3 linked regions of the Arabidopsis thaliana genome follow. The protein of the gene in region 3 interacts with the protein of the main gene of each other region in a pairwise test. Each region holds a gene or a part of one and is shown on either strand. Other genes may lie near its edges. The genes, in order: AT5G63130, AT1G67170 and AT5G64430.

Region 1 (10,893 bases), 440 kb from region 3:
TGGAATGTGGAAGTAAGCTAGTCCTGGAGCTATACCTTCTTGAGGATTAGGCTTTGCGTTGTACTCCCTCTGCAATATCATCAAAACCAGGGTTAAAACAACAATGTCATGATCAAAAAACAAGATTGATCATGTTCATCATTGATGTACCTTGAGACGTTTTGAAGTGCGGTCGAACCAAAACTGCTGAGAAGTTTTGATCCAATCATAACCTTCCATGTAAGGAACACTAGAATAATCTCCACTATCGAGAAAATAAAGATTAAGAACAGATTTGTTCTGTAGTTTCGAATCAGCAGCTCCATGGATTTGGAGATTGTAATTACCAAAACCATCAATGTAATGAGCAGCTTCAGGAGGATTCACTTGAGACAAAGTGTTGGGAAGCTTCACAATGTGATTCATAACTTGTTGTCTTGTAAATGTAGATTCTTGGTCATGGTTTCCCAAAATAGCAACCCATGGGATTTTAGACGCAATCGCTGGAGCAAACGCAGCGTTTATGGATTTCAAAGCGTCTTTTACATCAAACCCAAATATGTTATCACCTGAAACGAAACAAAACCCCAAAAAGATTCGAAATTTCACAATTAGGGTTTATGTAAACATCCTGAAAGTTAAGATTTTTCAAATCACGAGAAGAAAAGTTAGGGTTTTGTTCAATTTGGGGGTCTTACCGGTGAAGACGATAAGATCAGGCTTCTCGGCGGCGATGACTCGCGACATGAAGATGGTGGTGTTGAGGTCTGAGCAATGAGCTCTCTGGCTAGGAAGAACATTTTGACACTGCGTCTTAGCGCCGTTAGCAAAATGCATATCCGCCACTTGTAGTATCTTGAACTCGCCGTTAACACTGAACCTGAGTTTCCGACGTTGAGCTGTTGCCGGAATCGGAGATAAACAGAGACATGCGAGTCCTAGAAACACGGAGAAAAGTAGGAAGTCGAATAGGCTTCTTCTTCTTCGATTGTCCGCCATTGAACTTATGATGAGACCAAGAAACACGATAAGTGTACTTTATCGTTGTGTCAGTCAGTCAGTGTAGTAGACATGTGAAGCAAGTGTGTAGGAAGAAGCCAAAGGAAGCAACTTTGACATGGAAAGCTTTTAATTTTGTTTATTTTGAAAAGAGGTTTTATTCTTAATTAGCATCGAGTTAATTATTTGTGGCGTGATTTAATTACGAGTTATGACACACAACTACCAATTACCAACCATATTTTCTCATTGAACTCAGCATAACGTCATTCAAACTCATAATGACAATTACATTTAAGGTTTATTAAGTCTCCACATGAGACCTTTAGTGATTAGTTAATTGGTCCAAAAAATATAGTTGGGGACACAAATTGTTTGTTTTCGTTTGTAATTTCCAATTAATAAAAAAGCATTCCTTTCAAAATAAAGGTCGTTTTGAATAATTAGTTCGACGATACATTCCATGAGAAAATACATACGTAAGTGATTAAAACATCGAATACAAACTTGAACAACATTGAATTTGATTATTATACGAAATAATAAGATTTAAGTGACATGAAATGGATCGGACCAGGAATGCTTATTCCCCATTTAGCGTCATCAATGGAATCGAGGACCTCAAGGTGAGTTAGCCAGGACAATAGCTTCCATCATCATCATCATCGACAACAATTTCATCGTGATAAACCAAGATTAAGAACACAAGTTTTTGGTGAAGAACTGAAGCAAGAAACATACTTATATATATATGCTTTCAATTGTAGATTGATATCAAACTATATATATTGTAATGTAGATAGATACACAAATTTAGAGACGTGTATTATACATATCAACATATGTGTGTGTGAGAGTCTTATAAAGAGAGTTTTTATGTCGTTGTATTGAGAAGCAAAGCCGTATTGTTATATTCCCGCATGCATAGTTTCTTTCTCACAAGGAAATGGGGTGTGGGATAAAGGTGTAAAGAGTTATCCTTTTTAAAGGTGTGTTTGGCCTTTTTAAAATAACTATGTGATGCTTTTTTATTTTACCCTAAGTTTTTTTACGCAATGTACAGCCTTTACAACTATTCACACCACCAAATTTGCAAAATTGATAGTCAGTATTTTATCTATAATTGGCTCCTTTGGGGGTTAGAGACCGTATATAAACAGCAATGGCATGCAAGTTAAATAGTGGATTTTAGAAAACATACTAACAAACATTACAATTAAGTATGTTCATTATGATAGTAGACTGGTGAAATATAAGAAAATTATTAGAGTTGATTAATTTTATTCGTTTGAATTTCTTCAATTTCTTTTGACATGAACAAGTTTATTTCGAAAACCTAAAACAAGATACATAAATACTACCATAAATGATAAACGAAAATGTTAATATAGCTTTCAAAAAATAATACAAAAAGTACTATGAATTCGCAAGATTCGATGTTTTATGGGTAATCAAAATATTTGGAATGTTACTATTCCATCACCAATCAAAAGATCAGATGCCTATTTACGTTTTTGTTATTAGAGTTTTAATTTTTAAGACGTTGTTAGTTAGTTTCAAATTTAAGTCACGCGCGGAAGGTAGGGAGTGGCCCAATGGGTTTCAAATTATGCTTTTGTAATTTTACAAGCCCAAATTTAACATTTAGTCCCTACTCATAGTCAAAATTATATTTATCTTTACCCAATAACAATGGGCTAAACAGATAAAAGCCCAATAATAAATGCACTGTGTTTTTGGTCTTTATTTACTTTTCCATCAATTTTCGTTAAGAGAGAAAAAGGAAGAGAAGAAGAATGTTACAGTTTCCGACGTTGATGACCCAATTTCCGTCGTCGACGAAGACGATTCCGGCATCGTATTTGCTTCCGTTACAATGGCCTCAGCCGCAGAACGAGGAGATTCTTCTCGCCATGGAAGAAGCTGAGTTCGAAGAAAAGGTAGCTTCCTTCTTTTTTATTTATGTATTCGTTCTCCTTCGGAATCTGCTGAATAGGAAATTTTCAGTTTTCGACTGTCACTACAGGCAGCATAAAAGGTCAATCTTAGATCTTTAGTTTCATGTAAGTTGAGCTGATTATGAGTGAAATTTATTGATTGTGTTCGAGATTATAAGTGGTTTCTACTTTGTAAATGATCAATCTTTTTCGATCCGTGGTGATGATTTTGGTTTTAGGCAGATCACTTTCTTCTCTACTTCATATTGATAAGATGAATATGAGTTTCTGAATCTTTCTGCTTTGGAACATATTCTTTTGGGTCCTATGTTTGAGTTTTAAGTTAGTACAAAAGTGAGAATTTTAGTGGATACCAATGTCGAGTTGTGATTCTAGTGTAGTGGTTTTTCCAGTGTAGACTCTATGGATATATGCATTTGTGTTCATTGGACTATCATCTTATAGCTTTAGACCCGTAATAATGTATAAAGATCCAAGGGTGATCTTCGAGTTTAAATTGGAGAGATTTTTGGTTTCTAGATTTAGTATGGAAAAGGATTTGAGTTTATTGTTACATGTTTTCCAATGTTTGAAAACTAGTTCCGTTTCCTGAATCACTAGCAAGTGAAAGGAAAGAAGCAAAGACAAAATTTGCAGATTTGGAATTTAGCCATTGTGAACTTTAGACAACATGTCTCCTTGTCGTGTGATGTGTTGGTGTTACCTCTAATTATATGTTCTTCTTAAATATATTAGATTGTGTGATTATATAGACGTGGGAGCTCAAAAGTGAGAGAGATCAGTAGAGCTAATTGTCAGTTTCAGTGTTGTTGTTATGAATGTTTTAAGACAAGTTCTAAGTAAATTCTTGTTGTCTTGGGTTTGGTGCAGTGCAACGAGATCAGAAAGATGAGTCCTGCTTTACCGGTAATTGGAAAACCAGTCGTCAACAACGAACAAGAAGAGGATGATAATGAAGCAGAGGATGATGATGCAGATAATGCAGAGGAATCAGATGGTGAAGAGTTTGAGCAAGAAACCGGATAAATAATCTTGAGGCCGAAAATACACAAGGGTTATTGATGGCATTGGCTTGAAACTTGAGGACCCTTATCTAAATCTTCTTGTGATAAAACGACTGTGATTCTGACTTTGTAAACCAGGTTTTTTTCTTTTCTTAGGAACGACTGAAATGTTCACTTTTGGCCCTAAGGTTAGTCAGTGGATTATTCGTAGTTAATTGTCTCAATCTCATGGTGTTAATTGTGTTAGTGTATTGACATTGAATTTTATGGTTTATAGATTGTAGTGATTTGATGATGATGACATTTTTCAAAATTTAGACCGGCCTGTACATGCCAACTACGGGTAAGATATTTGACCAGAAATAATACAAATTTAAACGAAAACATATGTAGTTGGGTTTTACGTGAATAAATTTTATTTGGCCAAAAGCATAAAAAACAAGAACATGATTGGTTGTATGAATTAATAATTTGAGATTCGTTTCTGACTTTAAATATGTATAAAAATGCTAAGAAAGCCCAATTTCGTGTGCTGGTTGGTTGATATTTCAACAAATAATGCTGAAAAACAAGAAATATGTGGTACTGTTACTTCAAAATTTGATTCGAAATAATCAATGAACAACTTCAAATATTTTTTGTGGAGTTCCAAGTTTTCAAGTTAAGATGGGACAATTTGCTCACCAACTTATTCATTCTTTAGTTCTCCACTCCTCCATCTGTCCCATTCACAAGTTGCGAATATTTAGGAAGTCAACTAAAATACGCCGACTAACATTTCTTTTTCCAATAGTTTTCTGATTAATTAATATATTTGATGGTCCTTTTCTCAAGTCGGGCAAAATTTTGAATCGAATAAACAAAGGAACTCCGTGTGAGACTGTGAGTAATCTCATGTCCTTCTCTAATCCTGATGAGACAGACAAAAAAAATCGAATATTATAAAGTTGAGAAAACAATTAAAAAATTACTTATCAAACAAGTAAAATAAAAAAGAACCTCGTTAAGAAAAACAAACTCCAGAAGACGAAAGGTTGACACGTGTGACGTAACTAATCCACGGACAACACACGTGTTCACATCTCCGATATTTACACGAGATGATCTCACTATTCGCCACGTATCACGTTTAACAAAAAAACAAACGTCGTACGTGTAAACACGTCGTAACGGCGACTCTAACGGTTAGTAACGGCCACTAACGTCCCGGTATATACTCCGTCTAAATTAATTTCTCCGTCGGTTACGTCTCCGACCGGTAATTGTATAGGAAAATTTTAATTCTTCTCTTCACAAAAAATCAACACATCGTAAAAATTTCTAAAAACCCTAAATTAAATCCTTTAATTGCGTCTTCTTCGTCATTATCATGGTATTCGTATCTATGGCGTATATTCGATTATTTCCCCAATCTCCGTCAATGCCAAACGAGCCTAGAGTCTTTGTGTACACGACACGCATAGCAGCAATGCGATTCTTCCGCTCTCTGAATGTATCTTCTCGGAGGAAGATCCGTGGAAGGTAAACAATACCGAGATTGTAGATATCTTCCATACGCCGGCGACGGAGAATTTGGCGGTGAAGGCGTGACGGAGAACGGCGATTTTGGAGATCGATCACCGCTTGAAGACGGCGAAGATTCGGTCTTATGCGAAGATCTCGGAGGTGATAGAACGGCACGGATCTTGGCTCCGCAGATGCGATCGTACTCTTCAACGATCTCCGCTAGTTCTTCTTCTGATTTGACGGAGATTAGAGTCTCGAGATCTCCGTTTGGTAATTGACATCGTAAATCAACGGAGTATCCACAGAATTCATAGAGTTTCTTCATCAGCTCTGGAGAAACAAAATTAAAAAATCAATCTCAGATTCGGCGAAATCGGAAATAGAATCGATTTCAATACGAAATTGAAGTGGAGACGAACCTGAGAAAGAGATAGAACGATCAACGGAGAGGACTCTGGTGTGACCTCCGACGTAACGGAGCTTGCCGTCGGTGGAGCGAGGGAGGATTCTGCCACCGTAACTGCATAGAAACTTGAGACTGCTTCCACTGTTCTTCTCGGTATAATCAACGGCTACCATTGTTAGTTTTTTTTGAATTTTTGAAGATTTGGGAGAGAAGAGGGAAGCTTTTTATAATTGAGTGTTTGTTTTTGGTGTCTTAAACCAAGAAGAAAGGTTGCAGATGGATGGGTTTTATAGGGAAGGAGTGATGTCATGGTGGGATATTACGCGTATGGGCAAATAGAAAATTCCTTGGATCTTCTATGGGCATTTTGGACAATTCTGTTATTTCCAACAATGGAATATTCTTTTGTTTAATTGATTCCATTTTGAAGAAATCTTCTTTCTTAAAAGTCGCTCATCATTATAGACGTTTGGTCATCAAAGAAAACTAGTCATAAAATTTTAATCAAATATTGAATGCTGAATCTGATTTGTACCTTCCTCTTGGCAGTCTCTTCCATGTTAATGTTATTGTTAATTACCATCAATTTTACTGATTGCTCTGAACATGATTTTGTTTTTTTATTATTTTTTTTGCTGCAAGAACATTATTATGTTTGAAATTATAAATATGTCAAGTATGACCTTATGGCCATGTAATGTTAATGATTCGATTTTATAAATACTGTGCATTATGGGTCAAGTCAAATGTATACTTTTTCACTAGTTAGAAAATAACATACAGTATATGGTATTATTCCAGAAAATATGTATTATGACTAGGATTGGTGTAGTCACATGACTCATGAGATGGTATGTCTGAAAAATCCCATCGCAACTTTAAGATTTTCCAAATTTGATTCGACACTGTTGGCAAAATGTTTAAAGCAATAGACTCCCCCATCACAAAACCTCCAATAATTTAAGTTAAACAATTGTTTGGGTCCAATTTGTAGCCCATTAAGTGGTTAGTCATGGCCCATATCTGATTACCAACAAAATAAAGGAAATTAATTAAATTCGCGCAATAAAAAGAACAGAAAAATGGTGGGACAAATTAGGGTTACTAATTTGGGAATTTTACTGTCCAAAACGAATCAAAAAAAAAATCTAAGCTTTTTGTTCCTTTTGCGGCTTTTCGTCGTCTTCCTTGCACTATCTTCCTTCTGTAGCATCAATTCGTTTCCAAGGTTACGTAGTAGAATTTACGCGAGAGAGCGAGAGATCAAAAACCATAACCATCTTAAGTTACAATGAGCTCGTATGATCGTAGATTTGCTGATCCAAATTCGTATCGCCAACGCTCTGGGTAAGTGAAACCAATCGACCAATTTCTTCGTTTTTGTTTCCTTCGATCTGTAACACTTATCTTCTCTGTGTTACTTTAGCGCCCCAGTTGGTTCGTCTCAGCCGATGGATCCTTCCGCCGCACCATACAACCCACGGTACACTGGTGGTGGTGGAGGATATGGACCATCTCCGGTAATGGCCGGTGATAATTCCGGCTATAATCGGTACCCATCTTTCCAGCCACCTAGTGGCGGTTTCTCTGTTGGCCGCGGTGGTGGAAGAGGTGGATATGGTCAATACGGCGATAGAAACGGCGGAGGGAATTGGGGAGGAGGAGGAGGACGTGGCGGATCGAGTAAAAGAGAGCTAGATAGTGTTTCTCTTCCGAAGCAGAATTTTGGGAATCTTGTACATTTTGAGAAGAATTTCTATGTGGAGAGTCCCACTGTGCAAGCTATGACAGAGCAGGATGTTGCAATGTACAGAACCGAGAGGGATATATCCGTTGAAGGTCGTGATGTTCCTAAGCCGATGAAGATGTTCCAAGATGCTAACTTTCCAGGTATTTTGATTGGATTGGTCATAGAGTTTCCAGTTCATTTATATCTAATTTGGGTTCTTAGTTTAATGGTTCCTTTTATCTGTTAGATAACATTCTTGAAGCAATTGCTAAATTGGGATTTACTGAGCCAACACCTATACAAGCTCAGGGATGGCCGATGGCGTTGAAGGGTAGGGATTTGATTGGTATTGCTGAGACTGGCTCTGGTAAGACATTGGCTTACTTGTTACCAGCATTGGTTCACGTTAGTGCACAACCTCGATTAGGTGAGTATTACAGCACTATGTGATATTCTGATTTAAGCTGCATTCATTTTTCCGGCAACTTTTTTATTTGCATTGTTGGGGTGTAATATAGGTCAGGATGATGGCCCCATTGTGTTAATATTAGCTCCCACAAGAGAACTAGCTGTTCAGATTCAAGAGGAATCAAGGAAATTCGGGTTGAGGTCTGGTGTTAGAAGTACTTGTATCTATGGTGGTGCTCCTAAAGGACCTCAGATTCGTGATCTTAGAAGAGGTATTTTATTTTTTAATAGTGTAGTTTTCATGTCTGGTTCTTGGATGGAACATCAAAGTTTATGAATCATGATTGGCTTGTCAGGTGTTGAGATTGTAATTGCTACACCTGGTCGTTTGATTGATATGTTGGAATGTCAACACACTAATTTGAAGAGAGTGACTTACCTTGTACTGGATGAGGCTGACAGAATGTTAGACATGGGATTTGAACCCCAAATTAGAAAGATTGTATCTCAGGTATGTTTGTACTTTCTCCAAAGCTATCATGTAGTGTCTTTAAGGAAAGGGTGGTTGACCAACATTATTAGTCGATAGATTTTATCTTCCCAGTTTATTGTTCTGTTGCTAAATAAGAACCATCACGGCTTTTGTTCAGAACTTGAGATTGTTCCTTATTTTTCACAGATCCGACCTGATAGACAAACACTTCTTTGGAGTGCAACATGGCCACGAGAGGTTGAAACTCTTGCCAGGCAGTTTCTACGAGATCCATATAAGGTTTACTTGCTATTTAGTTTAACTTATTAGGATTGAGTATACTGTTGTTGAATAAAGTAGGGGATGTTTTATGTTGTGCACTGAAAACAGTTGTTATTTTGTAGGCCATTATTGGATCAACAGATCTAAAAGCTAACCAGTCTATTAACCAAGTAATCGAGATTGTACCGACGCCAGAGAAATACAACAGGTTCTTAATTTTTCTGTCATTAGATAAGAAACGATTTATATATATATTTATTTGCCTTCTTATATGATATGATACTTATGCCTTTTTTCTCGTTTGATAGGCTCCTTACACTACTTAAACAGTTAATGGATGGGAGTAAAATCCTAATTTTTGTGGAGACAAAGAGAGGGTGTGATCAAGTGACTAGACAATTGAGAATGGACGGATGGCCAGCTCTTGCCATACATGGTGACAAGACCCAATCGGAAAGAGACCGAGTCTTGGCAGAATTTAAGAGTGGACGAAGCCCGATAATGACTGCCACTGATGTAGCAGCAAGGGGACTTGGTAGGATTAACTGTGATACACAATAGGAGAGATTATACTTAGAGCATTTCGTTTTCTTGGGGTTTTAAAGATAATAAAAAAAGTCGCCTGGCTGCCGCTTTCCACAGTTTCCTCTGGTATTAGGGAAAAAAGCACATAGAAAGAAAAAAGGAGCTTCTTTGAAGAATTTGTTTCCTGCATCCATCTCCCGGGCATGGAGCTGATTGGTTTTTGAGCAGCCTGGGCGACTGACACCTGCATGCATTAATAGTGTTATAACGCCGTCCCAAACACTCCTTATCCCTGCAAGTTAAGGTGGGCACATTTACTTGGGAAAAATGTGTTGCTCTTAGTTTCTTGATCTTTCCAGATCTGCAGTTGTAGGGATAAGGGGTTCTTGTTCTCTATCCTCTCCTTAGCTAGGCTTTAAACACCAAACTCATTTACACAAAGAAATTTCTGTTCTTCTTCCTGCATTTCATCTCAGTCTATGATTTACTTCTCAACTGTGTTCCTTCTTTCTTCTTTTGTTTTGTTTTACAGATGTGAAGGACATTAAATGTGTGGTTAATTATGATTTCCCAAATACATTGGAGGATTACATCCATAGGATTGGTCGAACCGGGCGTGCAGGAGCTAAAGGAATGGCCTTTACATTCTTCACACATGACAATGCTAAGTTTGCGAGAGAGCTTGTCAAGATCCTTCAAGAAGCTGGTCAAGTTGTACCTCCTACTCTCTCCGCACTAGTCCGATCATCTGGTTCTGGTTATGGAGGTGAAACCTCATTTCTCTTCTCTCATTTGATGAGTTCAATCAATCTTGCTAAATTTTGGTACGAGGATCTGATTCAATTTTGTTGATTTGTTCAGGTTCAGGTGGTGGAAGAAACTTCAGGCCAAGAGGAGGAGGACGTGGTGGTGGGTTTGGAGATAAACGGTCAAGATCGACTTCAAACTTTGTACCTCACGGTGGAAAGAGGACTTGGTAAAGAGAATCCCATCATTTTGATTCTATGAGAAAACCTTTAATTATGATGATGATGATCAGCGTTTGGTTTCGACTAGAAGTTCTTTGTCGTAGAGAACAAACATTTACTATATAACTATTTAGCTGATTTCGCTGCTTCTTCTTCTTCTTCTTCATGATATTTCTAAACATTTTGCCTTTTTCTTAATTCTATCAACTAAATACACTTTACTACTTTACTCTCAAGTCAACCGTAACACTGTAATGAAACTTGTTTTTAAAAATCGGATGTGGATTATTAGGTTGGGAGATTCAAGTATTGCGAATAGAATTTAGACAAATGTAAGCATCTATAACATCTAGAACATGTATATCTTCTCTTTTTTCCCAACAACATCTAGTTACGAATCCTTAAGGTGAAATGTGTAAATAGATCATACTTAGCTAAAAAACCCTTTACATTTATTTGTCTAACATTGTCTACCATTAGGAAAACAAGTTAAAAATAATTCGCTATGTTTGAATCGAATTTGGAATTATATAATCGATCGTTAGTTTAACATTCAGTAATTATTAAAATTAAATTTTTAACGCAAAGATAATAATGTAAGTAATCATTAATGTGCGTGTATATATAAGCTGTGCCCACAACTCCTAGTAATGACTT
Region 2 (10,939 bases), on a different chromosome or scaffold from region 3:
CATCCGTATCACAGTAAGCTTGTGTTTCCTTAATTTTGTGTCTTAAATCTCATAAGCATAAAGACGAACTTTTACAACAATTTCTTTTTTTTCTTCGGTATCTCTTTGATTTTTTTTTAACTATTATTGATGTTGAAAATATAAAGCTCATAAGCAATTGGAGATGGGATCTCAAGACCCTTGTATATACAGAGTGCCAAGCCAGTTGCGTGAAGTGAATCCAGAAGCTTATAGACCTCGGATGCTTCTCATCGGCCCTCTTACTCATTCCAAGAAACCTAAAGTTCATACGGATTCAAGGTACGCAGACATAGCCTGGACGACCTTTGTAGCCTATAATCAATTTTTTTTTTTTTGCATATAATCATCTTCTTAACATTTATTTCATACAACGTATTTTTTTTTAATCGTAAGAAAGAAAAAAAGAAGAAGAGGACTTTTGTTAAGTTTTTGGCTGAGTTTTACCCTCTTTGTTTTGTTAGCAAAAAAAAAAGTAAAAATTCTGCAATATACCACTTTCAGTTTGCTATTGTTCATATATTTCGTACAAATTTGTATAATCTATATATATGTAAGTATTCATCTCTATTGTTTTGTGGTACTTTTGAGAATATCTCAAAACATAACAACGAAAGTAACATTAAATCCGGTAATGTCAGGATTTTAATTTTGTTCCGAGAGCTTTTTACGAACTACATTTTACAATCAAATTAACATTTAAACCAAACAAAAACAATTTGCAGTTATATAAAACAGAAAACGTAAACAGATTAATGAGTCTCTTCAAGAAAAAGTTTAGTAAAATCTTGATTAAAGTAGAATCCAATAACATCAAAATTTAACAGAGCTTAATAACATATTGATTGAATAACAACAAATTCTTCATAACATTAGAACACTCTGTAAATCACAAACCAATAACACCACTTTAGTCTCTTTAGCTCCTACTTCATATCTTTTGTTTAATGATTAATTACTTACACAATATAGATATTAATGTTTAGATGCTTTATTAGGTATCTAGAATATAAGATGATGGAGGACCAAAAGGTGTTGTACAAAGACGCTTTCACCAAAAGGCTAGATACTGATATTGCTATTCTTGAGGATATGAAGACCACCATAAAAGACGAAGAAGTAAATATTCGAGCAAGCTATGCGGTATCGACTGCATGGATATTATCCGATATATTCGTGGAGCTTATACTTAACGATTCAATTTTTATCGTGGAGTTCATTCTCAGAATGTATGAAAGTCATGAAAAAATTGGTGACATGATTGTGGACAAACCTTTTTACACTTCCACGGTTCTTGATGACCTTACCTTGCTCGAGAATCAGCTTCCTTACTTCTGTTTAAGTAAGTTGTTAAACCCCATTACAAAGAGATTTTGTGGAGATCAGTCGCTGGACCAAGTCATCCTCCAGTTATTTTCAGTCAATGATAGTGGCATGATCAATGAGAATACAAAGTTCAATCACTTCACAGATTTATTCCGGTGTGTTTACAAGGAATCACTTGGCCAGAATCTAGAGTTGAACAACTCGAAAAGCCAGATCGTGGATATGAAGAGCGCGAATATGCTATACAGTGTAGGAGTGGACTTCAAGGTAGTGAAGCGTGAGTATTCACTGAATGTATCATTCGAGGAAGGTTGCTTAATATTGCCGAGTTTTCCTGCCGATGAATCTTCTAATATCATCCTTAGAAATGTCATCGCATATGAGCAATGCCATGATCCTGAAAATGCCTTTACTACAAATTACATAAATTTCATGAATTTCCTTATTACCTCCGATGAAGACGTGGCTATACTCACTTCAGCAGGTACAAACATTATAACACATTATCTCTCTTTCTTTTTTGGCTAAGTTATAGTATATGATTGATGAATATATCCACAGGAGTGCTAACAAACGGTGTGGGGCGGTCAAGCATGGTACTGAAGATGGTGAATAACTTAGCTATAGGAGTGTTGCTATCGAATCAGAGCCAATATCACGACATTGTTGAGAAACTCAACATTCACCATAGTTCTCGTAGGAAAAGGATATGGGCGAAACTAAGAAAAGTCTACTTCAGCGACTTATGGACGACAACAGCTACGTTAGCTGCCATATCTCTTTTGCTACTGACTCTAGCTGGGACAGTGGCTTCCATTTTTCAAGCTATCAAGAGCTAATGCAGTTGCATGCTTCGATCTCCTAAAGATTGTATTCAACTCTTGTTATTGGAATATTGGATTTTCCAAAATTATATTTATTTCTCACATATAATTACGCGAAACATTTTGTTTTCCAACAAATAGTTCACAAATTTAAGAAATACAAACAGCTTGACCGAAAAAACGTAAAGCAAAATAGTACAATATGGATCCTGATCTTTTGACTTGCTCACTTCTTTCCAATCATGTTCTTTCCTTTGGTTGTTTTCTCTCGCTGCGTTGTTGTTCCATCTACGTTATTAACTATTGTCGTTTTCTCTCTCGTCACTGGTTTTGTCCCTTTTAAATTGCTTTTCTGAAGCTGATGAAGGAAAAATAAACAAGAAATTAGACAAGACACTTCCAAAAAAAACCCAGCATCGAGTCACTAGATCATAAAACGTTTATTTATCTAAGTATATGATTATATACCCCTTTCAACGCGGTCCGACCTGCATAGATAAACAAGACATGTTAGTTTCATACAAGGTAGTACTTAGTTAATCATATATAAGTTATTTCAGCTATCTTAATTATTCATCATGTACAAATTAGCCCGAACGTACGTACCTTCTTCGCCTGCAGAATTACTGGATGAAGAATCCATAGATGGAAACAACTAAACAAGAGATCAGAGATATCCGTGAATACGAAGCTTGTTTTTTTTATTTTATTTTTATTTTTTAATGTTCTTAATTTCAAATATATAGAGAGAAAAATTATTATTCTTGTTCTCTTAGGGACGACGCCTTGTAATTGGTCTGCTCACAAAGCAACCGCACTTGTGTTTTTTGATTCATTGAATATAATTTATGAGTGACTAACTAAATATTTAGTAAAGAAAGTGGGAAAATAATAGTCAACAAATTGAAGCGTTAACCTTGCCATAAAATCGTCTTTTCATTCAAAAAGTGAGGGATTAAATTACATAAGAAAATTACAAAACTTTTATTTCATAGGCCAGAAGTCTAGAAGGTACGTAGGCCAATATTCTAGTTTGTTCATCATAGGCTCATCGCGATAAACTCCATATGATTAACTGCAACACTATTTGTTATGAATTTCCAAATAATGTATTTTAATTTTGAGCTAGGTTTCATATGAAATCAGAATAACAAAATAGTAGTACGAAGTACGAAAAAGCAATTTTAAAAAACAGCTAAAAACATAACAAAATAGCAGTAAGAAAAAGTGGAACCAAAAAGCTGAAAGTATCAAAGCCGTGTTGCTAATCAAACCCAAAAACAAATAATCCACCCTTACCAAAAAGACAAAACTTGATAGTATTAATTCACAACCATTTATCACCAAAAGTGGGGAAAAACCAACGAGCATCCTTGAAAAGTTTTGTCGAGGAAGTAGTTAGATGTTCAAACTCTTGGACCACATAATCGCTTCCGATTTGGTAAACGCAAATACGGTCAGCGTTATAACCATCGCGTAGACTAATCCCACAACATCTATGATACTGATCATTACTAAAATATATGCAATCTCTCATAACTCCATCTTTGGCCGGAACCGTAATTCCTAAATCCAAAAGCAATGCCTCGTCCCCTATAGACTTGATTAGTACTGTAAATTCTGATGATTTTGGATCCATCTTATTGACAGTGAAGACGCATTTAGCCTCTGGAGAACTATCCATTTTACCACCTACAATGATCAAAACTTCTCCAGACAAAGTCACAGCAAGATTGCTGAAATACTTCATATGAAATCTATTTACACACACAGACGATCCGAAACTTGCACATTCCATTTCTACTGGAGAAACACCACCGGAGAAATCAAAAACAGTGAGACATTGATGTGCACTAATCATGTAAAGCTTGCTTTCTTTAAACACCATATCAACACAGCCTTGATGCTTTATTGGTTGAAGAACTTTCCAGCTATTGTTGTCATCTCCTCTCTTGTGATGATATGCTACATAACTAGAAAGATTACAAAACACAAAGTAATCTCTGCTTTTGTCATCTACCCACAGAACCGCTTTGTCTATTTCTATATGGCTACCGCTAATGGGTCTCTTGAATCGCATATACCGTTCTCCATCGATTGATTCGAGAGACGGAAGAAGAATCCTCTCTCGAGTAAAAAGATTCAAAAGATGAAAATCAGCTCTATGGTCGAACATAAGGAACCAACTACCGGAACTCGCTAAACAACGACTCGTAGACATATCAAACCCTAAATCTCTGATTATGTAGGTTTTGTTTTCATGAGGATCAAACAACTTACATGAACCGTTGTTTTCGACATTTTTGTTTGGAAAAAGAATGATCCATGGAGTTGTTGGATTTGTTACTCCGATGACTGATTTCGAAGCAACATACCATGTTGAAGAAACGCATCTCGCTCGATGAAAATCAACGAAGCTCAAGCGCTCCAAGATTAATCTAACTAGGTCCACGATATAGGCCGCTTCGAATCGTCCTTCCATATTTTTTCCGTCGGAATCGCTCATCTCCTTCTTTTGTGCTATTTCACGATTTTCAATCTTAGGGTTTGTGCTCAGAGACGTGGGGGAGAAGATGAGTCAATAAAGTTAATGAGGCTATTGGGCCATTATGTAAAATAGGCCCATATATTAATGGGTTTCGTTGGATTAGAAATCTTAACTTGTAGGAAAAAAAAAATTCACGCCGGCAAAAGAAAAGAAAAAAAAAACCTTCGCCGTCGTTTGCTTAGTCTTCTTCGCTCTATCCCAACACTCGATCAAATAATCCCAGTGAGCTTCTTCCATTCCAAGGTACGAATCGATAAAGTCATCAAACCTATACCTTTTCAGGATTTAATGGTAATTAGTCAGGATCTAAATCGTTTCTTCGAATTTGATTTCGGTGATCTAGAACCCTAATTTGGTCGGGAATTTTCAAATCAATTGATTTCCCTGCCCTAATTTAATTTGATGATTGTTCTGTTTGCCTATGAATAAGTTTGATTTCAATGGCAAACAAAAAAAAGAGAGACATTGATTTGAATATTTTTACTTAGGTGCATTGATTCTGCAGATTGTGTTAATGTGTGTCACTCTTAATCTTCTGTCTTATGTTTTTCTCAGTTGATAAGGAATTTGAAGAAGCCTTTGTTTAATGGAAAGCAAAGGAAGAATCCATCCATCTCATCATCATATGAGGCGTCCTCTTCCAGGTCCCGGTGGCTGTATAGCGCATCCGGAGACTTTCGGTAATCACGGTGCTATACCACCTTCTGCTGCTCAAGGTGTGTATCCTTCCTTCAACATGTTACCTCCACCTGAAGTTATGGAGCAAAAGTTTGTGGCACAACACGGGGAATTACAGAGACTTGCTATAGAGAATCAGAGACTTGGTGGAACTCATGGTAGTTTAAGACAAGAGTTAGCAGCAGCACAGCATGAAATACAGATGTTGCACGCGCAAATTGGGTCGATGAAGTCCGAGAGAGAGCAACGGATGATGGGTCTTGCTGAGAAAGTTGCTAAAATGGAGACTGAGCTTCAGAAATCTGAGGCTGTTAAGTTGGAGATGCAACAAGCACGTGCTGAGGCACGGAGTCTTGTTGTGGCTAGGGAGGAGCTTATGTCTAAAGTGCATCAGTTGACTCAGGAACTTCAAAAATCTCGTTCTGATGTGCAGCAAATACCTGCTCTGATGTCTGAACTTGAGAATCTAAGACAGGAGTACCAGCAGTGCAGGTAATGGTTGTAGAATGGAAGTTTCTGATATCACTGGCTCCCGACACTCTTCTTATAGTTATTGAGTTTGTCAGCTTTTGTATCATCCTCTTATGAAGGTTGGGATGAATTTGATTTTATCTGATTCTGGCAGGGCAACATATGACTATGAGAAGAAGTTTTATAATGACCATCTCGAGTCACTTCAGGCAATGGAGAAGAACTACATGACTATGGCTAGGGAAGTTGAAAAACTTCAAGCACAGTTGATGAACAATGCAAATTCAGATAGAAGAGCAGGTATATTGAATTATTTAGTTAGTTTCTGCTCTATTTAGCTTCATTGTTCCACGAACTTTTTTCAGTAATTTAAGAGTTGTATCTGTCAATCAAATGAAGGTGGCCCTTATGGTAACAACATAAATGCTGAAATTGACGCTTCTGGACATCAGAGTGGAAACGGTTATTATGAAGATGCTTTTGGTCCTCAGGTTCGTGAGTTTCTCTTTGCTAGCTCGTCTTTTTGAGACCCATTATAGTTTTCCACATTAGTTGATTTAGATGTGCTTGAGCTATATACGTTTTGTTACTTTTGCAGGGATATATTCCTCAACCAGTAGCTGGTAACGCAACTGGACCAAATTCAGTTGTTGGCGCAGCTCAATACCCTTATCAAGGAGTAACTCAGCCAGGATACTTCCCTCAAAGACCCGGTTACAACTTTCCAAGAGGCCCTCCTGGTTCATATGACCCAACAACAAGGTTACCAACAGGACCTTACGGCGCTCCATTCCCACCTGGACCATCTAACAATACTCCTTACGCCGGTACACACGGAAACCCTAGTCGCAGATGAGTCCACCAGCTAAGAGTACATATATAAATAACTCACCAGCTACAGATTCCTTCAACTGTGGAATTGTTGCCTGTTTGGTCCCATAATCTTTATGGGTAAAGAGAAGTTGGTACAGTGGTGAACGTTGAGTGCTATTGTTTAACTGATTTTGTTGAGAGCTTGACTTTTGTGAGACGGTTTTCAACAAGTTTTGTGATACAGAGAGATGTAACATCGGGAAAGAAAAAACAAAGAAAGAGAAATTTGTTGTTTGCCCTTCACCATTTTGTCTCTATGACTCTATGTTTCACTCAGTTAAAAAGTTTACAAATGAATCGAAAGTTAAATTTATCTTTGTAATACTGTAGTTTCTAGTTTTAGTTTACTTTTGAAGGGCCCATTTTATTTTTTATTTTATTTTGTGAGAAGGGCCCATTTCATATATATATATATATTATTTATTTTATTTTTGGACAGAATACGAGTTGTTTTAAAAAAAAAATATTTTTGAAACACCGTCCGATAAAATTATTGAAATTTTTTGATATTTTTAAATTCCCGCCAGACTCCCATCTAAATTTCGCTTCTCCTTTAGCCATTTGCTTCCATTGTCACGGACCTGAGAAAGAAGGGGAAGAGAGATTGAAGCAAACAAAGAGATAATCGCAGCAACTTTGTACCAATTAGACCAGGTAATTCTTCTCCAATAAAGAAATTGCAATTTCTAAGGTTTCATTGTTCGATTTCTGTAAAAAGGTTTTTGATTTCTCAATTCAATTGCTGAAATTTGGTTCAGTTACCTCGATTTTAAGTTTAGGGTTTACCGATTCTGGCCCATTTGATACGAAAGATGTAAGCTTTTCCCAATATTGAATCCCCTTGGCTATATAGGGGTTTAATCGCACAATTTGATTTAGAAGAAATTGTTGCAATCCCCAATTTACGTTTTTCATTTGGGTCTGATATTTGTAGGTATGGAAAATGTGGTTGCAACTGTGAGTGGTTATCATGGATCCGATAGGTTTAAGCTCATCAAGCTTATTTCTCATTCTGGAGCAAGTTATGTTGGGGCAATGTCAAGATCTATTACACATTTGGTTTGTGTAGATTGTTCTGTTCTGTTTATGTGATTCATTACCACTGTGGAGAAATGAAGACATACCCTTTTGTTTAATTGGTTATGTGTGTAGGTGTGTTGGAAATTTGAGGGCAAAAAGTACGATCTTGCAAAGAAGTTTGGTACAGTAGTAGTGAATCATCGATGGGTGGAAGAATGTGTAAAGGAAGGGAGAAGAGTTTCCGAGACGCCTTATATGTTTGATAGGTATGCTTATTGGTTTCCGGTCCTTATAGCTTCTATGTTCCTCAAAGATGATTGATAAAGCCTTAATTTTTCAGTGGAGAAGAGGTTGGACCTTTGATGATTGAACTACCTGCAGTTTCTGAGGAAGCTAAAGTCACTAAGAAAGTGAATAAGGCTTCTGAAACTTTTGATAAATACTTTAGTAATGGTGGAGAAAACCGGAGTGGCTCCACTTCTGAGCTTGCCACTTGGATGGAGGTAATCCTCGTTCTCTTATTACCTATTTGCTTAGATAGTAGATACAAGCCGCATCTAGGTTTCTACAGCTATTAGTTTAGTTTTTATTGAATTTCAGTAATAGAACAAATGTTTTGTGTTGTATACTTCTATATCCAAAAGATCAGAAGAGAATTATCTTTTTGCATAGTATATCTAGTATCATTTGAAAGACCGATGTGCTGATAGCATATCCTCATCAGATTTCATAGCTACCAAGATTAGCTTTGCGTAGCCACTGTGGAAAGTAACATGTTAATTAGTGTGAATGTAATTGCTTACTTGCATGACTGTTATGTGTATGGTATACTTAGTTTGTTTTCTTCATGTCTCTGGGCTTCTTTGTTGCTCTTCAGAAAAATGTAGAAGCAAACAGACACTCAGTGCGATTAAGAACAAAGAGGCCGAGTAGTATTCTTGAAAACAAGGAAAACAGTGGTGTGGCAGAATCTTCACGGAAAGGAAAAAAGCGGGTAGTAAAGCAACGCTCTTACAGAAACCTTATCGACCTTGAATCTGATGAGGAATCTGATAATAACCATCATGACAACTCTGATGAGAACCAAAATGAGACTCAGGATCATAGAGAGCCTGCTGATGAAAATGTGAGGGGTTTTGTTTTCGAACAAGGAGAAACATCAGCTCTTCGACATCCTGGAGACTTGGCAACACCAAACTGGGATGTAGATGAAATAGAGGAGTCTGAGAATTGGAGTCATTCAGCTGTTTTTAAACGCCCTAGATCATTTAGTCCAGAGATAAAACCACAAGATGATGATGAGTCAACAAGAGAAGAGACAGAAGCAACTGAGAAGGCTCCTGCACAAGTTTCTTGTATCATATGCTGGACCGAGTTCAGTTCCAGTAGAGGCATTCTCCCTTGCGGCCACAGGTTTTGTTATTCATGCATCCAAAAATGGGCAGACCGTTTGGTGAGTTTATCTTCCTTGCTTTTCAAACTAATTCTCATAAAATCCATATTGGTAAATGATGCAACTTCCTTATTATATCTGCAGGTTTCAGAAAGAAAGAAAACAACATGTCCACTGTGCAAGTCCAATTTCATCACAATCACAAAGATAGAAGACGCTGATTCTTCCGATCAAAAGATATACTCACAAACAGTCCCTGACTTATCTTCAACAAATAACATTCTTGTAGTACTCCCTGAAGAAGAAGAACAAAGACAAACTCTCAATCCACTGGTAAGCCGAGAGTATTGAGCTACTACGCGATCTTGTTCTTGATAGCAACAACATTCTATTGTGTTTTGTTTTTTTCTCCTGCAGACTCGAGCTTCAGGTTGCAGCAGATGCTACTTGACTGAGCCAGAGGAGCTTCTGATAAGATGTCACCTCTGCAATTTCCGGCGAATCCACTCCTATTGTTTAGACCCTTATCTGCTTCCTTGGACCTGTAACCATTGCAATGATCTTCAGATGATGTACCACCGTCGCAACTACTAAATATATACGTATGACAATAATGTTTTGATATTTGAAATGATGGACAAAATATCCTCCCATTGTTTATGGAGAAAAATTTATTTATAATTGATTTAAATGAAGTTCTTGGTTAAAAATTAATATAACATTAAATTATACAGATCGAACCATATCAAATTAAAACTAAAAAAGTTGGGTGTCAAATTCAATAAAAATTTCCAAATTCCAACTGTCTAACCAAAAGTCACTTTTAAGTTTTAATTAAACCACAAAAGCAAATTGCCTAGAAAAATAAATTAAGCAAAAAGCTCTCTTTCAGTAAAGATGCCGTTTATTTTTCATATCCCGCCATGACCCCACCACCCAATATAATATTCATTATTTATTTTCTTTTGATTTTAGTTATAAAAAAAAAAAAAACTCAAGTCGTCGTCTCTCTCATTTTCTTCTCCTCTAAAATAACCAGATCGCCTCCTCCAATCATCTTCTTCTTCCTCCTCGCAGATCCACCGTCGTCAACTATTTTATTCATCCCGGAGAACTAAAATCGGTATACAGATCTTCTATCTCGCTTCATTGATCGTTTTCTTCCTTCAATTTCTAATCATCTCTGTTAATATCCATTGGTTTGATTCATATCTTTCGCTGCAAAATTCCTCAATATTCAACACATTTACGCCATTTTATCCTTACGATTTCGTCTCTCCTGACTTTAAACTTCGATATGGTTTCTGATTCTGCTGATTTGTTCGATGTTGGCATTATCTTGCTTCTGGTGATTTGAGATGTAATGTTTAGATCTATGTTTTGTTTAATGTAGTTTGGATCAAAATACTATTGAATCATCTCTTGGAATTGTGTTAGACTTTGATGTTTAATCTATATATCAGTGTAGGTTTCGAATTATGGACTATCTTCCTGTGGAAGTTATTGGAAACATACTCTCACGTCTCGGAGGAGCTCGTGATGTTGTGATAGCTTCAGCAACATGTAGAAAATGGCGAGAAGCTTGTAGGAAACATCTTCAAACACTTTCTTTCAATTCCGCTGATTGGCCGTTTTATCGAGACCTTACAACGAATCGTTTAGAGATTCTTATAACTCAAACCATTTTCCAAACCATGGGGCTGCAAGGTCTTTCTATTATGATGGATGATGCGAATAAGTTTTCGGCTGCCACAGTTATCGCTTGGCTTATGTATACGAGAGACACTT
Region 3 (10,948 bases):
GCAGGTAATAAGCTCACCACTAGCAAACAAATTCATTTCTTTTACTATTCTTGAAGTTACTGATCCTTGGCTGCTAAAATGAGATTCAATTTAATCCTTTGGTTCAATTGTTTCCAATTGGCTCAAGCTCAAAGTTTAATAGAGTTCCACAATATTATGTAACTTGTAGGTTTTTAAGTACTTTTGTCAAGATGTCACCAACGATGGACTGCTGAGAATGTTGCGGGTGATCAAGAAAGATCTAAAACCGTCTAGACATCAGGAGGACCAAGACTCTGACGATCTTGATGATGATGAAGAAGATTGTCTTGCTATTGAAGATGCAGAAGAAGAAAACGAGGAGATGGGTGAAACTGGTGAGAGCGATGAGCAGACTGATGATTCCGAAGCAGTAACCGGCGTTGTCCCTATGGCAGTTGACAGAGAAGTTCCTGAAAATTCCGATGATTCTGATGATGATGATGGAATGGATGATGATGCAATGTTCCGCATGGACACTTACCTTGCCCAGATATTCAAGGAGAAGAGGAATCAAGCTGGCGGCGAAACTGCTCAGTCCCAGCTTGTTTTGTTTAAACTCCGTGTCCTCTCCCTTCTTGAAATCTACCTCCATGAAAATTCAGGTAAGTGCATCATAAAACAATGATTTGGTATGATGAAATGCACGATAATAGTCACTACTAAGTTCTGTACTTTGTGGTTTGGTGATCTTTTAACAGATAAGCCACAAGTTATGACAGTGTACTTAAACTTAGTTCAGGCAATGCTGAACCCAAGCACTGCAGAAAGTAGTCTGCCGCTTTTACAACGTATATGGGGCATCATTCAGAAGAAGATCTTCAAGGCTAAAGAGTTTCCCAAGGATGAATCAATGGAATTTTCTGCACTTGCTTCTTTGTTGGAGAAGAATCTTAAACTGGCTGCGAAACCATTCAAGAGTAAGAAGTCAGGAGTTGACCCTTCCAAGAAGAAGCAGTCAGCTGCGTGGAACCGATACAAGATGATCACCCACCTTGGCCAGAACTCAACTTACTGGGTTATGAAGATAATTGACTCGAGAAAATTCTCAGAAACTGAATTGGAGAAGATCTTGGATGTGTTTCGGAGTGCTGTTACCGGGTACTTTGATAGCAGGAAGTCTCAGTTGAAGATAGATTTTCTTGAGGAAGTGTTTAGAAGGAGACCATGGATTGGACACCAACTGTTTGGTTTCCTTCTGGAGGCAAGTGTGAATGCAAATGTTGAGTTCCGTAGACTGGAAGCTCTTGATTTGATCACTGAAACTCTGAGATCGTTGATTCCTATAAACGAAAACACCCAAGCAGATTCGAGAAAAACAATGACGACCCATCTGAAGGAACTGATTCTTTTGATTAAAGAACTAGTTGGAAACATGCCTGAGGCTAAAGTAAGGCGAGCTCAGGTGCGTAAATTCTGTGGCAGGATCTTTCAGATGGTCTCTTCGTTGAAACTCACCAAATCTTTCCTCAAGGGGTTGGGACAAGATGGTCGAACAGCATGTGAAGATGCATTCGGTGATCTCTTCTTGAATCTGAAGAATACAGAGCATTAACGCAGACTACTCCAAAGTATCACCATACGTTGATCTTGGTGAAACCCTCGTCTTTTTTTTTTGTTTTTCTTGTGTTATCTTTCTATGAAGAAAAACTCGCAGGATCTGAATCACAAGTTTGAATAGGATTTCTCCTATTCATTGATTCCAAAAGATACTACATTCTCACTTATGTCCCAAAGAGATGATTTGTTATGATAATTCATCAATTTTGTTTTCAAGTTGTTATGTTGGTTATATTTACAGGTTGAGAATATGTTTAAAACTATGGATTTCATATGATTTTCTTTATCAGATATATTTTTTTTTTTTGTCAGACATTCTTTGTTATAAATACATACTCATTTTGGAGATTGATGAAAACTTTGTCTGAAGGGGGCAAAAATCTACAGAAGCATATATATTTCTTGAACATATATATGTTCATTTGGGTTTCTGGTGTGTCTTTGATTGTTCATTGCGATGATATAGTTACGGTTTTGGGATAAAATCAAATTCGGGAATTCATGCGTTGACAGAGTACAAAATGATCCAAAAATTGATAAAGTGAGACTTACCTGAGACATAGACTAGTGTAAAAGAGACACCTGTTTTAGATATCATAATTTAATAGGGGGGTTTTCTGTTTCGATTGATGCATTGTATTCCGTGATGATGTTGATGGTGATTCATATACATACTTAAAGTGTCGTTTATTGATTCGGGAAGGATGCAACAAATAAGTTTATGACATGGCCGATAAGTGAGTGACTAAAGCTATATGACTTTTCTTTGTAAGGATTCTTAAAAGTTCAAAACTCGTAGTCTAATAATATCCTTTCCCATAACACCTGTCCCTGAGTTTGATAGATAGTTTTCTTTGGACCAGTTTATATTTTAAAATCATATATTGTAGAAAATTCGGTTTAAATGTAGCTAAGATGACGCAGAGAACTTCTAGTAGACCATTTAACTAAAAGTCTGGTCACATACGAGAGAGTGTATATTTATCTCTTTACAAAGAAGCCAATTATTGATTTTGAAATGTTCTATCTTCCACAACAAAATGATTTTCATGTGGAACAACCCATATATATTATGGCCGAAGGACAACTACACCACTTGGATAGAAAAAAGGAGTTCAGCTTATTATGGCGAAAAGAAAAATAAAGGTAAAATGGCTTAAAAGGTTCTCAGATAAATGCAATCAAATGCACAATAGACTGGATTTAAGCAACGCGATGGAAGTTGCAGAATCAAGAACATCATCATAAGATAAAATAAACAAGTAGATAAAGGGAAAAAGAAAAAAACATTATTTATCAGACACCAAAGTGATCTTAATTACACTATATATATATATATATATAAAAGATGATGAAATTTGTTGTAATAGATTAACAATAATCTGATTCAACCATATGAAATACCTCATCAATCAAACAGCCGAATCTGAACTCTGAGATGAAACTTTAGGTGCCATGTTCATAGCAACAAGCTTCCCGTCCGGTCCAGTTCTCAATTCACTCATACCAGTTACAGGTAAGCCAACTCCATGGTACTGCGGCGGTGGAGCCTCCGTGTAATAAACTTGTTTCCCCATTCCTCCAGTGTAAGTCACCTGAGTATACGCTGATGTATCTGGTAATCCTACTACTTGTCGTGGCGGTGGTACTGCGGTGTATTGCGGTGGTGGAGGACCAGAGGTAAAAGGCTGAGGAGGAGGAGGTTGTTGTTGTTGTGCTGCTTTTGTTCCTATAGGTGCCTGAAGTGGCTGAGCCACGTTGTACGGTGATTGGTGTGGTTCTCTGTAAGTATCTGAAGCCACTCTCTGTACCTGAGGATAGTAGCCGCCTTGGTTTACTTGTCCTGTAAGTATTGGTCTGATGACACCTTGCGGTTGCGGTGGTGGTGGCGCGTGGTACACCGGAGATGGAGATGGAGATGGGATCATGTAAACTGGTTGCTCTGGTAATCCTAATCCATGTGTGGTTGTTGGAAATACGACTCCTGGATTGTGGTTTCCTTGCCAGAAAGTCGTCATCGGAGGAGCTTGCGGATTCGTTTGAGGAATCGTCTGCTGTGGCGGTGGTGGCGCAGGATTTTGTATGTACGGTGGAGAGAAGTATCCACCTCCGGTTTCTATTAAACCGTCTTCGTTACTCTTCCTTCTGTATACAGCTTCCTGTTGTTGTTGTTGTTCTTGATCCCTAATATGCATCCTCTGAAATTCCTGCATTTGTCTTTGAATTTCCATCGGATTTACGACGTGATCCGGTTGAATCACACGCGGATCGTTAAACAAAGGCGGTTCTAACGCCACAGGAACCGGTAATTTCACCTCAGCCGGTGGTGGCGGCGGCGGAGCTGCAACTTTCTCCGATCCAAACAAAAAATCCGCATTATTCGGAGGAGCAGTTACGGATTTCTCCGATTCAGATAGCCTAGGAACAGTGTTCAACGCCTCGACGAAGCGATCTCGATCCGATTGAGTCGAACTTTGAGAACCAAATCCAGAAGAAGCCGGGAAGAGAAACAAACGCATCCTCGCTGGCTTAGACGACAAACGAAGCAAGCGATCGTACTCGTGCATCATATGCTCCAGATCATCATCGTTCGTAACCGAGATCAAAGCGTCTAAGTCTTCTCCCGGAAGCTGATACTTAAACGTAACTTCTCCTCCGCCGCCATCACCGCCGCCGCATACGGTGGAGAGTTTGGAAGCTAAAACAGGGAATCTAATCCCGCGATCAACGGAAAGAATCTTCGTTTCTCCGTTTACGTAAGTGAGCTGATTATCGTGAGGCCGTGGCTGAATCTTGCCGCCATAGCTGCACATAAACTTCACCTTGTAGCTATGTTGCTGCTGGTTCTGGTTCTGATCATCCCATGGAGGCGGCGGGTTATCGAATTCGATCTCACGAGATCTCGGTGACGAGTCGGTTGAATCTGGATAAGAGTTGTACGAGAATTTCTCCATCTCTCCGCGAAAATTAAATGATTTTTTTTGTTGGTTTGGCTTAATTCATGAAGAGAAGAAATTAGAAAGAAATGAAGAAGACTGTTGTGATGAAATGGTTTTTATTATGTATCGGTGATGGTGGTGTTGGAAAATGAGTACGTGAACTTATTGCTCATTTACACGTGGCCTGTCAGATTTTATGAGTTTTAAGGCGGTGATGAGATTATGTGACGGTTCTGTGACGTTAGCTGAATCTCTCCATGGATTAATATGACTTTTGGGGACACTGTGAATGGGCCCAACACTAGTGTTTTGATACTTCGACGTTGAAAGAGGCCAGCTTTTAGCCTTTTACATGTTTTTTCTTAATATTTTGTTAAATCAACATTAGTGAAGCAATATTTTTAAGGTTAAGTGATAAATAAATAGTTAAGAAAAAGGGAAAAACAAAAGTCGTTGTCGTCGATCTTTCGCCTGATCAGGCTTAGATATGTTTTATGATTGTGTTATTGGATTTCTTTTGTGTATAACAAATATTTGAATGTTTGAATCATCATCATTCATCAACTGTATTACACATCCGAATAGTCTTTGGGTTAGTTCTAGAAGATAGATGTTTTTTAGTCTGTCAACATGCAGAAGAAAACTGTAAAAGGGTCAACAAAAAAAAATTGTTATGTTAAATTAACATCAAGAATATAAGATAATTTAAATTTGACACCGGTGAGTGTATACTCACTTTCTCGATTGTTTGCTATTATTATATACCTTAGATTATTGCCAACTTGCACCTTATTATAAACGGTGAAATTGTTGTAATTATTCAAACTTATAATAGACGTATTTCACTAGCATGCCGAAGGTGCAATCATGGTCGTACAAGAACAATATTTATATTGTCAAATTCACGTAACAATTTTTGTTGTTTTCCTTGTTTGTCGAAGACATGTGCATTGATTAGTATTTCTTCCAATATTATTTTGTGTTAGAACTTAGAAATGTTCATTATTTTCTCATCCTCTTAAATAATCCATATATATATGGACTAATCGGCCCGCCGTCCCGGTACGATGTTGCTCGATCAGTCATAAATCAAGTCGTGTCTCGTGGTTGTTTGTACTTGGCAGAGCAAGTCAATCAACCGAATTTTGGTAAAGATGCATCTTAGCCAAAACTTTTGATTTCACTAGATATACTAGAATTTAGCATTATACGAATGTCGACCATACTTTTTGATTACTTAAGAGCCTCTTATATAGTTAGTCCTATTATTGATAGTTTTCTTGTAGTAATATTTGAATATTATAACGAATCAAATTTTTCGAATCTAATAAGCACAAAAGAAAAATGGAATCGAATATTATTTTAAATGAAACTATGTACTAACATAAATCCAATTATGTTCAAATGAAACCAAATCAAATAAATGAAGTATTCCTAGCTTTGAATTAGTAAGTATCATATGAAATGGCTCCATATGGAAACCAAAAAATCCAACTGAATGCAAATGAAAGTGTTTTCACTACTTCATCGTAAATATAAAGAAATTGTTAGGTGTGATAATGAAAAACATTAGTTAACGGGCCAAAATTATATATTTACATAATAAAGGGGTAGTTTCATAAATTTGAGAACATGGTTGGAACATTTCAACAAATGAGACGAGTTCAATGTACACTTGAATTATGTACAAATCAGTACAAGAAGCTTAAGATTTGAAGCTAACATATAACATTCAAGTTCCCAACAACTTCACCGCTCATCTCCGCACGGCTTTCTTCATTTAGTAATCCTTCGCCGGATCGGATCATCGTTTCTCAGATTCCTCTTTTTAAGTTTCTTCTTTCAGGTTCGCAATCCGAATCTTCCACAACCATTGTTCGTTTCGCCTGTGATTCTGGTTTCTGAAATTTCTGCCTTGGCGTGGTTTCCTTGAATCTGATTACTTGGATTCTCCGATTCTCATAGTTCTTACCAGTTTTTGTTTTTTATTTCACTTAATTTGTTCTGATTCTGGATAACAGATTCTTATGATAAGGTGAAAGATACTAGAGATTCATCGGTTTTGTTTTGTTTTGGCAATTTTCTCAAGTGTTTGACTTATAGAACAGTGACGTGTGTGATCTATGATATCAATTCCAAACTTAATGATGTTTTGTTTGTAGATGGGTAAGTATCAGGTCATGAAACGTGCAAGTGAGGTTGATCTTTCTACTGTCAAATATAAAGCTGAAACCATGAAAGGTCTGGTTGGTTTTACAAATGCACATTAATTCTGTGGGTTTTCTGCATAGACATGAGAATGTGCCTTTTACATGGTTTTCTGTAATTTGCAGCTCCTCATTTGACTGGCCTTTCCTTCAAGTTGTTCGTTAATTTGCTTGAAGCACCACTTATAGGCTCTTTGATTGTTGATTATTTGAAGAAAGACAATGGCATGACAAAGGTCTAGTTTGTTCAAACTTGACTTATATCTTCCTCAGGGTTGTTGATGATCAATGTTCTTACATGTATGTGCTTTTCCGTGTTGTCACTGGCAGATTTTTCGCAACACAGTTATACCAGAAGAGCCCATGTTTAGACCGGAGTTCCCATCTCAAGGTATATTCTTCTTCTCTGTCATCTATTCTCCTACAATCATATGTTGTATACTTACATGAAATATTGTGTAAGATTACTTCAATGAGTAATCAATATATACACCTCAAAAGGATGATTGTGTTGTGTGTATGATTTTCTACTAGAACCGGAGCATGATGTTGTCATTGTTGGCGAAGATGAAAGTCCTATAGACAGATTGGAAACAGCCTTGAAATGTCTTCCTCAGTATGATCCTTCTCGTAGCTTGCATGCAGATCCAGTGTCATCTTTCCGGTACTGGAAGATTCGTGATTATGCATATGCCTATAGATCTAAGCTGACAACTCCATTGCAGGTTTTTCATCTGAATTTTTTAGTTTTATTACTCTCTTTTTTTGGCACTAACAGAGAGCCTTGTTGCTTATTGCTAGGTAGCAAAAAGAATAATCTCAATCATAGAGGAGTTTGGCTATGACAAGCCTCCAACACCATTTTTGATTAGATTTGATGCCAATGAAGTCATAAAGCAAGCTGAAGCTTCTACACGGAGGTTTGAACAAGGTAAAATTTATGCATACTCCAAGATACATTTTGTAGTCCAGATATTATCACAGCAGCATCGTTATTGTATCTGCTTAAAGTGTCAGCTTCAGTGAGGTGTTAGACATGATTGTTGAGATCTGTGTTGATCATGTTGGGTGTGAGCTGTGTAGGAAATCCAATATCTGTTTTGGATGGAATATTTGTGACAATCAAGGACGATATTGATTGTTTACCCCATCCGACAAATGGTGAGTCTGTTATTCTTATATGTTACTAAGAATACTTCCAGATACAACAGAACTGTCATAGAGTTTTTCATTAAAGGTGGAACAACATGGCTGCATGAGGATCGTTCTGTGGAGAAGGATTCAGCTGTTGTTTCAAAACTGCGTTCTTGTGGTGCAATCTTACTTGGCAAGGCAAATATGCATGAGTTAGGCATGGGGACCACCGGGAACAATTCAAATTACGGGTAAGCTACACAGCAGAGGACACACAAATCTTGCGGATAGACATAAAACTGTTTTGTTACTTCAGTATGTTTCTTGCACCTTTAGTTCACTCTAGTTTTTCATGTGTATGCTCCTCTGGTATGGTGCATTGCAGAACCACAAGAAACCCGCATGATCCTAAAAGGTACACGGGCGGATCTTCCTCAGGTTCAGCAGCTATTGTAGCCGCTGGACTATGTTCAGCTGCTCTAGGAACAGATGGTGGAGGTATCAAAGTTATATTTATTCGTTTGATCTGACCAATGATGTGCATACCTACTAGGTTTAATGATTCTGAAAATGCAGGTTCCGTTCGCATTCCTTCAGCACTTTGTGGTATAACGGGACTGAAGACAACATATGGTCGGACAGATATGACAGGGTAAGAGAATCAGGATTCCTATTAGAAACCCATTAGGCCTTTTTCCCCCTTCCTTGTGTCTTAACAGGTTTCTACTTTTGCTTTCCTTGGTCCATGGCCAGCATTATTTGCATATGATTTCTTATGTGACCATTGTCATCTCTGCAGGTCATTATGTGAAGGTGGAACAGTGGAAATAATTGGTCCACTTGCTTCATCTCTGGAAGATGCCTTCTTGGTGTAAGTTTTAATCTTTTTTGAGACGAGAATTATTCTTTGTAAATCTGTTCGAAGCAAAACCATAAATTATCTAATTCAGATGTTTGGTCTTCTGAGAAACCTGGATGTTAAAACTAATCTGCCTTTTTGTGTTTACTTTCAGGTATGCTGCAATCTTGGGTTCTTCATCTGCTGATAGATATAATTTGAAACCGGTAAACTTTCTCAGTCATAGTATATTTACTATAAAATCTTAATGAAGAAGTGTCTCAGTTTATACTCACTTCTGTTCCCAAGAATATATGATATCTCTTTTACTTGCTGAACCACAAAGATTTCAGAAATATAATTCAAAATAAAAATTTCAAATATTTCTGGATGCAATGATGATGATGTGTGATAATGGCATATAATCTTGCAATATGTTCCCATATGATTTGGTCTTTGCAATTCTTCTGTAGAGCCCACCGTGTTTTCCAAAGTTATTGTCTCACAACGGAAGCAATGCAATAGGATCTCTACGACTAGGGAAATATACAAAGGTGAATATTCTATCCTTGCTAGTTAATCTGAGTTGGGATTTGTTATATCAGTGGCATATTTAGTGCCTTGTTTTTATCCATGCAGTGGTTTAATGATGTCAGTTCAAGTGACATCTCTGACAAATGCGAAGACATCCTTAAGCTCCTATCAAACAATCACGGTTGCAAAGTAATCTGAACATTTCAGTACTTCTCTCTCAATCTACGGATACAATGTTTCAGCTACAATCTCTCTCTATTGTTTTCATTTCAGGTGGTGGAGATAGTGGTTCCTGAACTGGAAGAGATGCGTGCAGCCCATGTTATTTCGATTGGGTCTCCAACACTGTCTTCTCTTACTCCCTACTGTGAAGCTGGGTATGTCTCTAGCTCTATCATCTATGAACCAAATTAGAACTTTGGTTTAAGAACTCCCACATTTGTCTTGTATTTCAGGAAAAATTCAAAACTAAGTTATGACACTCGTACCAGCTTTGCAATTTTCCGTTCATTCTCTGCTTCAGACTATATCGCTGCTCAATGTCTTAGGTAAGCGGCAATAGAATAATGCACTGTATGCGCAGCTTTCACTTTTGCTTCTAAAGTCACAAGAGTAAACCAATATTGATAGAATTTTTGTTGCAGGCGAAGATTGATGGAGTATCACTTGAATATCTTCAAAGACGTTGATGTCATTGTGACCCCTACAACTGGGTACGTAATATAATTTCATACCTTATCAAACCATCTAGCAAATTGAAGATCCCTATATTACTTGCAATGTCTTCGGATATAGTTACTTGTATATTACTTACTGCTTAAACTCCTCTCACTTTACAAACAGAATGACAGCTCCAGTGATACCTCCTGATGCTCTCAAAAATGGAGAAACCAATATTCAAGTGACAAGTTTGTCAAGCAAAACTCTAACTTCTTACTTTTGGTGCAATCTAATACATAGCACATTTACATCAGAGTTCTGATATTCAAATTGCTTCTTTTCTAGCTGATTTAATGCGCTTCGTTCTAGCTGCAAATCTCCTCGGCTTCCCTGCCATATCAGTCCCGGTAAGACATTTTTTTTATCAGTCTCTAACCAAGGCTTAGACAATCATGTTACTTATTTCATTCTTGCAATATAATCGTATCTTCTTTCTGATTAATCACTCTCTTTTTCTAACTTATTGGCAAACAAAAATCAACGCAGGTTGGTTATGATAAAGAGGGGCTTCCTATAGGATTACAAATAATGGGAAGACCTTGGGCCGAAGCTACCGTCCTTGGTTTAGCTGCCGCAGTCGAGGTACTCTCTCTTTTTCTCTCTCTGATACGTTTTCAAAAGATCAAGTAGAAACTAGTGCGGTAAGAGGCGGTAAATAGTAAGAGCGGACTCTGTAACTTGAATCGATTTTGGTATTTCAGGAACTGGCTCCAGTTACCAAGAAACCTGCAATCTTTTATGATATTCTCAATACAAACTGAATTCATAAGGATCTTCCACAGAACTGAAAAGGCAAGGATTGTCTCTGGCTGCGGAATATTATTTATGTTTACATTATATAAGGTTAATATGTCAATTGATCTACAAATCGACGATTATTGTGCTATAAACCGTGTTGGAATTTCTTACGTCGACTATGATTAATTTTAAAAGATGTGAATTAGTCTTGAGCATACTTGTAAACTTTTAAAATGCATTTTGAAAAAAAGTTTAGAAAC

The links.
Region 1: the proteins of AT5G64430 (region 3) and AT5G63130 interact in a two-hybrid assay, tested with the Arabidopsis thaliana proteins (one large-scale study listed by BioGRID).
Region 2: the proteins of AT5G64430 (region 3) and AT1G67170 interact in a two-hybrid assay, tested with the Arabidopsis thaliana proteins (one large-scale study listed by BioGRID).

The regions. Positions count from the first base shown.
Region 1 is NC_003076.8:25,318,322-25,329,214, reverse strand, and holds AT5G63130 (Octicosapeptide/Phox/Bem1p family protein), read right to left. Parts: upstream 6,241-10,893; 5' UTR 6,026-6,240; coding exon 5,866-6,025; intron 5,777-5,865; coding exon 5,358-5,776; 3' UTR 4,476-5,357; downstream 1-4,475. Other genes in the region: PAP29 (purple acid phosphatase 29), read right to left, coding at 1-69, 151-548, 678-978; AT5G63135 (transcription termination factor), read left to right, coding at 2,775-2,918, 3,807-3,962; AT5G63120 (P-loop containing nucleoside triphosphate hydrolases superfamily protein), read left to right, coding at 7,144-7,199, 7,279-7,742, 7,829-8,008, 8,100-8,261, 8,346-8,500, 8,669-8,761, 8,866-8,951, 9,052-9,278 and 2 more.
Region 2 is NC_003070.9:25,122,425-25,133,363, forward strand, and holds AT1G67170 (sarcolemmal membrane-associated protein), read left to right. Parts: upstream 1-4,748; 5' UTR 4,749-4,959; exon of another isoform or gene 4,960-5,007; intron 5,008-5,271; 5' UTR 5,272-5,302; coding exon 5,303-5,886; intron 5,887-6,019; coding exon 6,020-6,165; intron 6,166-6,264; coding exon 6,265-6,356; intron 6,357-6,463; coding exon 6,464-6,721; 3' UTR 6,722-7,033; downstream 7,034-10,939. Other genes in the region: AT1G67150 (transmembrane protein, putative (DUF247)), read left to right, coding at 164-300, 1,005-1,828, 1,906-2,183; AT1G67160 (F-box/kelch-repeat protein, putative (DUF295)), read right to left, coding at 2,395-2,526, 2,775-2,823, 3,503-4,674; AT1G67180 (zinc finger (C3HC4-type RING finger) family protein / BRCT domain-containing protein), read left to right, coding at 7,675-7,797, 7,891-8,024, 8,099-8,261, 8,636-9,211, 9,296-9,484, 9,569-9,745; AT1G67190 (F-box/RNI-like superfamily protein), read left to right, coding at 10,630-10,939. UniProt on the Arabidopsis thaliana protein: Has no transcriptional activation activity.
Region 3 is NC_003076.8:25,759,550-25,770,497, forward strand, and holds AT5G64430 (Octicosapeptide/Phox/Bem1p family protein), read right to left. Parts: upstream 4,872-10,948; 5' UTR 4,533-4,871; coding exon 2,991-4,532; 3' UTR 2,611-2,990; downstream 1-2,610. Other genes in the region: AT5G64420 (DNA polymerase V family), read left to right, coding at 1-4, 170-623, 720-1,573; FAAH (fatty acid amide hydrolase), read left to right, coding at 6,680-6,758, 6,851-6,960, 7,055-7,115, 7,259-7,449, 7,526-7,655, 7,808-7,885, 7,962-8,109, 8,244-8,356 and 12 more.